Linked DNA regions of Mus musculus. The protein of the gene in region 2 purifies or fractionates together with the protein of the main gene of each other region. This does not show direct contact. Links are inferred from orthologs where the notes say so. Each region holds a gene or a part of one and is shown on either strand. Other genes may lie near its edges.

Region 1 (4,459 bases), on a different chromosome or scaffold from region 2:
TTCAGGTAGAACAGCTCGTTCAGACTGGGGATGCGGTTCCTCCTCAGGTACAGCTCGCTCAGGCGCCTGCAGCTGCGCACCGGTTCCAGGGTGGAGACACTGTTGACACTGCAGGGACCAGCACACTGTCAGGGATCCATACGGTCTCAACCTCCTCGGGCCAGCGGCCTCCACCTGTGGGTCTGCCTCACCCATGGGTACCAAGAGAAGGTCTCTGCCTTAGAATGGGTCAGAACCTAATCAGCAGGATCCCTCAACCTGAGATCCACATGGGCAGCTCCTTGGCCTAGAGCTCTGCATTCACATGGAACTATTGTGGCAGACAAGATGCTTCACTCTGCTTCTTCGATGATACTGAGTCCCCAGAGGACACGCTTTGACCCACAGCAGGCACTGGTTAAAACTCAGCAAAAATGCCCACAGGCTCCGTATCATATATAAACCAAAACAAAACAGGGCGTTAGGATGATTTCCATCCCATAAGAAAGTGTGGAGACACAGGAAGGGAAAACAGCATCCACTCACCGCCAAAGTCCCCCCCCCCCCCCATGGCCTCTGCATCAGCTCCTGCTTCCTGGCCTGCTTGAGTTCCAGCCCTGACATCCTTTAGTGATGAACAGCAATGTGAAAGTGTAAGCTGAATAAACCCTTTCCTCCCCACTTGCTTCTTGGTCATGATGTTTGTGCAGGAATAGAAACCCTACGACAGGCCCTAAGTGTCAGCCTTATCCTGGGCCCCAGGATGGGCAGGAGAGAATGTCGGGATGGAAGTGATGGAATCAGGAAGGCAGGGAGATAGGGTACTGGGAATTTCAGGGACAGATGTAGCCACAGGGAGGACTGGCCTACCTGAACTACTACTCATTATTAGGGAGCCTGCTACAAATACACAGATTACTTTCTGGGGTGAATGTGAGAGGACAAGCAGAGGTAAGCCTTTAGGAGGCCCATGTAAGATCCTTAAAAAGCAGGTAGGGGCTCCAGGTTCTTGAAGTCCCATTCCCTAGACAGTTAGCAGATGCTGCTGTCTTAGATGGCATTGGGAGTCTCCAGATTGCCTGTTTTCCCACACTCCAGAGGAAAGACATGAGTTCCCCGGCCTCCCCATTGCTTCCATGCCCCAGGACTACAGTCAGTCACATACCTGAGTGTGATTACCTCTAGGCTGGGCATCTCCCGGCATATGGAAATCTAGGGAGGGAAGAACGGGGCCAGTGAGTTAACAATAGTGTGGTCACCTCGGGTCAGGGGACACATGTGTCCTGGGTCCTGTCACCTGTACTAATGGGGCCAAGGGGTATGGGCTTGCACAACCAGGGCACTCAGAAGAAATCAGCTGCATGCTGGTCTCTGTGGCCCAGCCTGCTCTTGGGGTGTTCTACACTGGGTGTTTCTACCTGGCAGTTTACAACAGTTCTGTGTCTAACACAGAACATCATTACAGTCAATACCCTCTGAGGACGCCTGGCCAAGGATCTTGTGGTTTCCCACCCTGAGACAGATACACAACCCTTTCTCCTTGCTGCCCCTGAGGCACAAAGAAAGGACAGACACTCTCCTTGCCAATGGTTCTGGGCTCAAGGCAGACAGAACTGCAGTTAAGTTTGGCCACGACACACCATCAGATCTGTGGATCAGACCTGGGCTGTGGGCTCCACAGTCCCAGCTGCCTGTCATTTCGGGTGGGGTTGGGGTGTCGCCTCCTGAAGCTGAGGAAGGCCATGCAGAGTGCCCCTGTTGATGTCCTTGAGGGAAATCACCACCAGGGACTCCTCTCAAGGCAGAGCTTTGACTCTGTTTTCCTCTGTGCAGGTCTAGCAAGTGACACGGCACTGAGCTGAAGATCACAGTTCTGTAACTTTAGCTATTCTTCTGGGGGAAGGGGCATCCGGAAGAAGATACAATCAAGGCAGAGCTTACATCTGTGAGCTGGCTGCCCCTGGAGAAGAAAAGAAATAGACTTTAATTTGTTGAATGAAAATATTTTAAAAATCCCCAAAGAAATGGCAATTGTCTATAAATCTAAAGATTCTACATTCGGAACAGTAAGGAAGGCTGGTTGCCCAAATAAGGGTGAGGTTGGTTTCTGCCAATACTCCCTGCTTGGTGCATGGGGGTACACAGTTTTCTCCTCTCAGGCTCCCATAGCAGAAAGCTCTTTCCAGTCACACACATAAACAAAGGGATCTTCATAAGAGGCCAAGCTCAAAGGCCGGTCATGCAACTTCTGAAGCAAACTTCACGGGCCTGCAATGTGTGTTGTTTCTGCTTGCACAGAGGAAGCCCTGATGTGCTCGCTGGCTCGACAAAGAAAGGCATTATTGAAAACCCAGGACAGGGAGGACTGTGGCCCCAACACCAGATGTGCCAGGGCAGGGAAAGGCTTTTAATTAACAAAGCTCACTCTTTCCAGTAGCCCACTGACCATTACTAGAAGCAGGGGTCTGCACTTGCTCTGCCACTGCTAAATGCTCTGGCCACAGCATCCCACCCCAGTCCCCAGAGACACCTGTAGCTCTTCCACACGCCAGATACAAACTCCTCCAGAAGCCCGGGGCTTTCAGTATTAGTGTGACTCAGCCATGCAACTTAGAGTGCATCCATATAATAGCATCTAAGGTCTAGGCTGTCACTCATACCAGGTCACCCTCTCCAGCACCGGATCATGACTTTACAACCTCAGTCTCTCCCTGTAGACATGCCACTAAGCACCTCTGTCTTCAGATACCAGACACAGACACAGAGGGTTAGCGAAAAGCCCTCAGCAACACTAGAGGGAAATTCTAGTTATCCTGCGAGGGCCGCACTCCTCTGAAGCACTGGCCTCAGAGTGAGCCTGCAACCTAGCTAGCCTGGGGTAGCAGGCGCTCAGCGCGGCCTCTGCTTCCTCCCGCTCCTGGCCGGCCTCACCAGCAGTTGAGCTTCCGCACGTTGTGCAGCTCCGAAGCCTTGGCTCGGGACAGGACCATCTTTCGTGTCAGCTTCATGGTGGCCACAGGGCCGCGGGCCCGGCCGCCCTCCGCTGTACACTCGGCTAGCGGGAGAGGCCTGCGCAGCGGCGCGTCTCCAGGGGCGGGGCCCGCGTTTCTAGGGGCGGAGCCTGAGGTCCCATTGGCAGTCAGGCGAGAGGGCGGAAGCGCGCCGGCGAAGCGGGACGGCCCGACTTCCGTGATACGCGATTCCGCCCCGCCCCTTTGGCGGCCCGCCGGTCCTGCGCATGCACGAGGCTCCGGGCTTTGCTGCCTGGGGACCGCTGGTCTCTGCATCCCGTGTTTGCGTGCGCGGGAAGGGCGGCCCTTAGGATTCCAGTGTGCAAGAGTCTGAGATGGGCTGGCTTGGGTGAGAAAGGCGCCGGTGTGTGAGGGACTCGGGACGCCTGGCTGGTCTCGGAGACATCGAGGACAGAAAAGGTCGAGTCGGGAAGGGTGACAGAGTCCTCGTAGTGGATGCCAGCAGAAACCCTCCTGGCATGCTTGCTCCGGATCCTAATCCCTGCCATGGCCCTGGTCACCACTGAGCCCTCACCCATTTCTGCTTGACCCCAAATCGGGGATTTGTGTTACATAACAGCTAATCCACAACCAGACGATGACTGACACTTGTAATTGATGCACTCAGAGGCTGAGGCAGGAGGATTGCCTGAGCCAGTTTCTGGCAAGACTGGCTCATACAGACATTATCTCAAAAGACAAAGCCGAGTAGTGGGGGCTTGGGGAGGGACTGAAGAAACAGTTAAGAGCGCTGGCTGCTTTTCCAGGGCACTCATATGGCCGGATCACAACCTTATGTAACTCTAGTTCCAGGGGACTCAATGCCCCTCTTTTGGCCTCCTTGCGCACCAGACAGGTCACTTGGGTTGCACACACATGCAAGCATAACACTCATATGTAGAAAAACAAAACGAACAAAACAAAAACCTTAAAAACAAACAAACAAACAAACAAATAGAAAATAGACGTTATGTTTTTGAAAGTCAGTACTGTGCCTGTGGTTGTCAGTGTGCATTTTAAGTAATCACAAATGAATTTTTGTTTTGTTTTCTTCTGGAGAAAACAGATCTCCAGAAGAAAACAAAACGAAAGATTGTAGGTTGAAATCTTCATATCTTTTTCTATCCTACAGATTACACCGGGACAGGCACTGGGTACTTCAGGCCCTTTAGGTAATAAACTGCCCTTGATGAAGTATTCTAGGGCTCTATTGTCTGTCTGACCACCCTGGTCTGCCTTTACCAAAAACAAGTGAAATGGTTCAGTAGGTAACAGTACTGGACGCACAAACCTAAAAACCATAGTTTGCACCCTGGAACCCACAGTGGAAAGAGAGCGGACGCTGAAGATTTAGCCTCTGGCGGGCCATTCATTACCATCAGGAACAATAAGGCCTGAGCTGAGAGATACAGCTTAGCCACCAGTGTGGTGGGAAGAATTTTATAGGCTCAGTTCAGCCACGTTTAAAG
Region 2 (4,412 bases):
TTAATGAGTTTTAGAACACACAACAAAAAACAAAAGTCTTTCCTTTTCTGCAGTTAATCTTTGCTCATCACAAGGAGTACATGAGCTACCAACTTCAGACCTGTGAGACTACAAATAAATTGTTATACTAGAGAACTATTTCACATGAAATGAAATAAAAGATAATAGAGATACCTTCTGCATCAGCTGGCTTTTTTATACAACTCAAGGCCACCTGCCGAAGGATGGCATCATTCTTATTAGACTGAGCTCTCTCTCTAGAACCAGTTACCAAGAAAATGCTCACAGACATGTCCACAAGGACAGATAGCCTGATGGAGATATTCTTTCAATTGAGAATCCCATTCTAAGATATATCTGGATTTGTATCAGGTTGGCAAATAACAAACACTCTATTTGGTGGCAAAAGAAAAACATATGTATATATTTATAGCTCCACTTATTTATATACATATTTATGTGTACACAAACCCACAAATATATAATACCTCTGTAAGGACACAAAATAAACTAATAATATTGCTTCCAAAGAATGAAAATTAAGAGTTGAGAAGTCTACAATCTTTTGTATTAGAATTAACTAGTCAAAACAACAAAATTAAATGTTAATCAGCCATGTATACTGATATAAGAATACAGAGCAAATCAGTTTCTCCTACATAAATTAAAAGAAAACAAAAATAACCAAGTTTATATGGAGAGAGACCGTGTGTGTGTGTGTTTGTGTGTCTCTACACTAAGAAGACTTGTGGGAGCTTGTTCTTCCACCATGTAAGTAGGTCAAGGGGACTGAACTACGGTCATTCAGGCATCAGGCTTGGTGGCAAGTGTCTTTATCTGCTGGTCCATCTCAATGTCCCTATTTAAATTTTGAACAGGATGGGGTTACAGGTTGGAGGCAGAAGCATCTGCCTACTATTCACCAGGCATCCTTGAACAATTTTCCATTTCCAAACACTTCACCTTAACATTTAAATTCATGCTACTACAATATCTTGTTTCTTTTTAAGTATATCAACTATGCTCCAGAAAAATATTCCTCAATTCCAGTCAAATTAGATAGGTACCTTTCTAATTTTCTAAGAACTGTTTCAAGTAAGTAGTGCTTGATAAATAACATGAACCACATATTAAAAGTTTCAGAGTACAGGAATTTTAAACTGCATCTCCATCAGTTAGGAAAACACTGACAGAGATTAAGCATTAGCTCTTTCAGATATTTGATGGATAGGTTATTCCAAAGGGAAACATTAGGAATAGGTGAGGCCTACTTCTAACAGATGCCAAGAGGTCTTCTGGTACTGTCTGCAGGCAAAATCTATACACACGGTTCTTCCAAAACAATAGAGACAACCTGAATTGTAGAAAACGGTCAATGTGTTTTCCAAGAAAGGAAAATTCTCTATTTTTTTCATTATGAGGAATCTCTAGAAAAAAAATAAAGAATTGCTAATATTTTTTAAGTATGTGTTTTCTTCTTGGTAAATATATTTAGACAATACCCAAGGAGTTTATAGTAGAAACTATCAACAAGCAAAAAGAAACTTCCTCTGTTGAAAAGCTATCATGTCCACGATTCTAGAAGGGTAAAACCTACTTGGAATACAGTGCCAATGCATTAGTAACACGACCTCAAAAGAACTGTGGTTAAGTCCCACAGCCTTCATCAGATTTCTGACAGACTTTCTTTTTCAGTGTAAAAACCAGTTTCCCCACAAAATCTGTTACTCTGGTTTCACCAGAACAAGAGGCCATTTTAAATGTAGACCTCTAGATCCTAGAAACTAGAAACAAAGAACTGCTTCTTTTTCCATCTGGCTGCTGCCCATCACCTCCACTTACTGCAGCATAAGCAAAGCCCATCACCGTGAAAGCTCAGATGGACTAGGGCTTTTAAGCCTTCACAAACATTTCCGATGTGATTTATGTAGGCAGTAAAAATATTTCTGCTTCTAGGGAGATCTTACAGGGAAGAATAAAACATTGGGCAGGGTATATAACTCAGTGGCAGATCACCTGCCTAGCAAAAATGAGTTCCTGTCATCCAATCCCCAAGACCCCTTCCCAAAGTTACACTGAATTATTAAAGTGGCAAAACTTTTAATACTTTACACGTGGAAATTGTGTCAAACCATGGAAAGCTTTAGGGTAACCAGTTAACTGCTATTTTTCTCATTAAAATATACAGGCATCTAATCTAATCTATTTAAGTGACTTATCATCTACTTAGATTAGTTTATCGTCTCTTAAGAGAGCGTTATCTTTTTAGAATACCAAAGAATTGCCTTGAGCCATACACAAGTCCTCCCCATTAACAACTTAAGGAGAAGGTGCTTTAGGCGCAAACACTTAAGGCGAGTATCCATGCACTCCACAGATCTATACAGGTCTCCTCACTCCCGGTGAGTTCACCATTCTGCTTGTCTGCCTGTCACTGCTTTCCCACGCGCAACTCACCTCAATGACACGGGACCTGAGTCAGAATAACAGTGGCGACCATAAGCACCGGTCTAGTGGCGGCAGTGTCTTCCTATAGGACTTAAGGCAGAAGCACCACGATGCATTTTGGAAATGACATGCTGTAAGAGAAAGCAAGTCTGTCTACCCAGCAGCCGCTCACAGCCCAGGCTGCGACTCCTACACCGGGCACCGGTCTCTGGCTGACGCGTCAGACTTGCCACCGTCGGGTCAGGCACAGTACTCCGCGACCCGCCCTGGCTACGCGGACGAAACAAACACAGCGGTTCCTGACCCCTTGGAAACGGCGGCTGCACAGGGGGAGTTGCTGGGTACCGCCCCCAACTTCACAGGTCGAGGTGGCTTGGCCAGGCGCGGACCCGCAGCGTGTGGGACTGGGAGGCTACCTGTCGCCCAAGTCCTCCCGCCTCGTCACAGTGACTATGGATTCCGGGGTGAGGGCAACTGCACAGGCTCAAGGTAAGGACGCTGCACGTTGCCGCCCTGAAACCATAGAGCTACTGCTGAGGAGAGGGGAACGGCCCTCGCGTCACTGTCGCTGGCGTGTGACGTCAGCGCGCAGGAGCCGACTTGTGGCGCTGCAGGGGAGGAGCCGGGATCTGCGGGGGGCGGGGCCAGGCGAAGCGAACGGACTGTACGTGCGGGGCGGGGCTGGACTAAGAGTGATGGGGCGGGGCTCCGGGGAAGGGCGGGGTTACGGAATAGGAAAGCTAGTGGGACCCGGCTCTCAGCCAGCAGCTGAGCTAGCGGGGAGCGTGAAGGACCAGAGGCCGGCCTAGAGGAGAGAGAGGCTAGGGAGAGGGTGCAGTGAGTGGGGGGCCTGTGGTAGGTAAAAGCTAAAAAGGGCGGTTTGGGAGCGGAGCGTAGCAAGCCGGGGATGGGTAGGGCAGAATCGGGGACGGGGGAATGGGGCGGGGCATCGTCAAGGGGCGGGGCCATTGGAATATGTTTGGGCCAAAAGAGCTAGGAAGTACTGGGACTAGAGAAAGGACTGGGCAAGTGCATTGGTGCAAGCACCGGGGACTGGGGGCGGGGAGGTGGAGACTGGAGCAACTTCAAGAGTTAAAAACTCCAAGCACCAAAGGGAGAGCGTGAGGTACTCCAAGCTCAAAGGAGCATGTGAAAGACGGGTGTCGGTAGAATAAAGTAAAACCGGAAAGAATTAGGCTGAGTGAAGGCGGGAATTTCGCTCAGGAATCTGACTCAGACTGAAGAGAGCATATTAACAACTTTTTCCCACACGGTACACAGATAAGGTACTTTTAATTTGAGCGCTCATTACTTAACTGAGGATGCCAAATATTTACAAGTAATTTTTCTTTAAGTACAATGCCCTTTAAAAAGTTATTTTAAGGGATGGCTCAAACAGCTCATCTCTGAAGACAGAAGACCAGGGTTCTGGGACGCAAACCTTGGTCTGGTTAACTCACCTGTAACAACTTCAGGAGCATCTTCTGCAAGCACCGGGACCTGAACTTATGCACATATCCACAGTTACTTCGTGAACTTAAACGAAGCAGTTTTATCTTTAATTTTTAGAATACAAAGTTACATTACAGTGTCCTACACCTTTATGTTTACTGTATATACACTTTATACTGAAGGGACTGACGATGTACAGTAGACTAAAAATCATTCGATGCAGGAATTGAAACAGTTGAGAACAAGCCTGGTGTCATCCCGAGTAGCTCTACTCAGTGAGCTAGAGGATGGCACTCTAGAAGTCCATACTTGAGGCAGGAAGAGGATAGTGTCTTTGTATACAGCCATAGTTGCTGTCCACATTGTTCCATTCGTGTGAATGGAACACTACCGAGGCTGCATAGACCTTGCCTAAGATCTGTAGACAGTTGATTTCTCTTTTCCATCCTTTCCCCATCCCACACACCCAAATCGACTTTTCTAGGTTCAGGAGCTTATAATTCTTTCCAGCT

What was found.
Region 1: the proteins of Nek1 (region 2) and Cfap410 purify together in Homo sapiens (affinity purification with mass spectrometry; 3 studies listed by BioGRID and IntAct, with this or other methods). This does not show direct contact. The link is inferred for Mus musculus from reciprocal best matches to the Homo sapiens genes NEK1 and CFAP410.

Annotation. Positions count from the first base shown.
Region 1 is NC_000076.6:77,977,233-77,981,691, reverse strand, and holds the start of Cfap410 (cilia- and flagella-associated protein 410), read right to left. Parts: upstream 3,043-4,459; 5' UTR 2,988-3,042; coding exon 2,911-2,987; intron 1,940-2,910; coding exon 1,921-1,939; exon of another isoform or gene 1,641-1,920; intron 1,192-1,640; coding exon 1,145-1,191; intron 109-1,144; coding exon 1-108. UniProt on the Homo sapiens protein: Plays a role in cilia formation and/or maintenance. Plays a role in the regulation of cell morphology and cytoskeletal organization. Involved in DNA damage repair.
Region 2 is NC_000074.6:60,991,809-60,996,220, reverse strand, and holds the start of Nek1 (serine/threonine-protein kinase Nek1), read right to left. Parts: upstream 3,029-4,412; 5' UTR 2,458-3,028; intron 1-2,457. UniProt on the Homo sapiens protein: Phosphorylates serines and threonines, but also appears to possess tyrosine kinase activity. Involved in DNA damage checkpoint control and for proper DNA damage repair.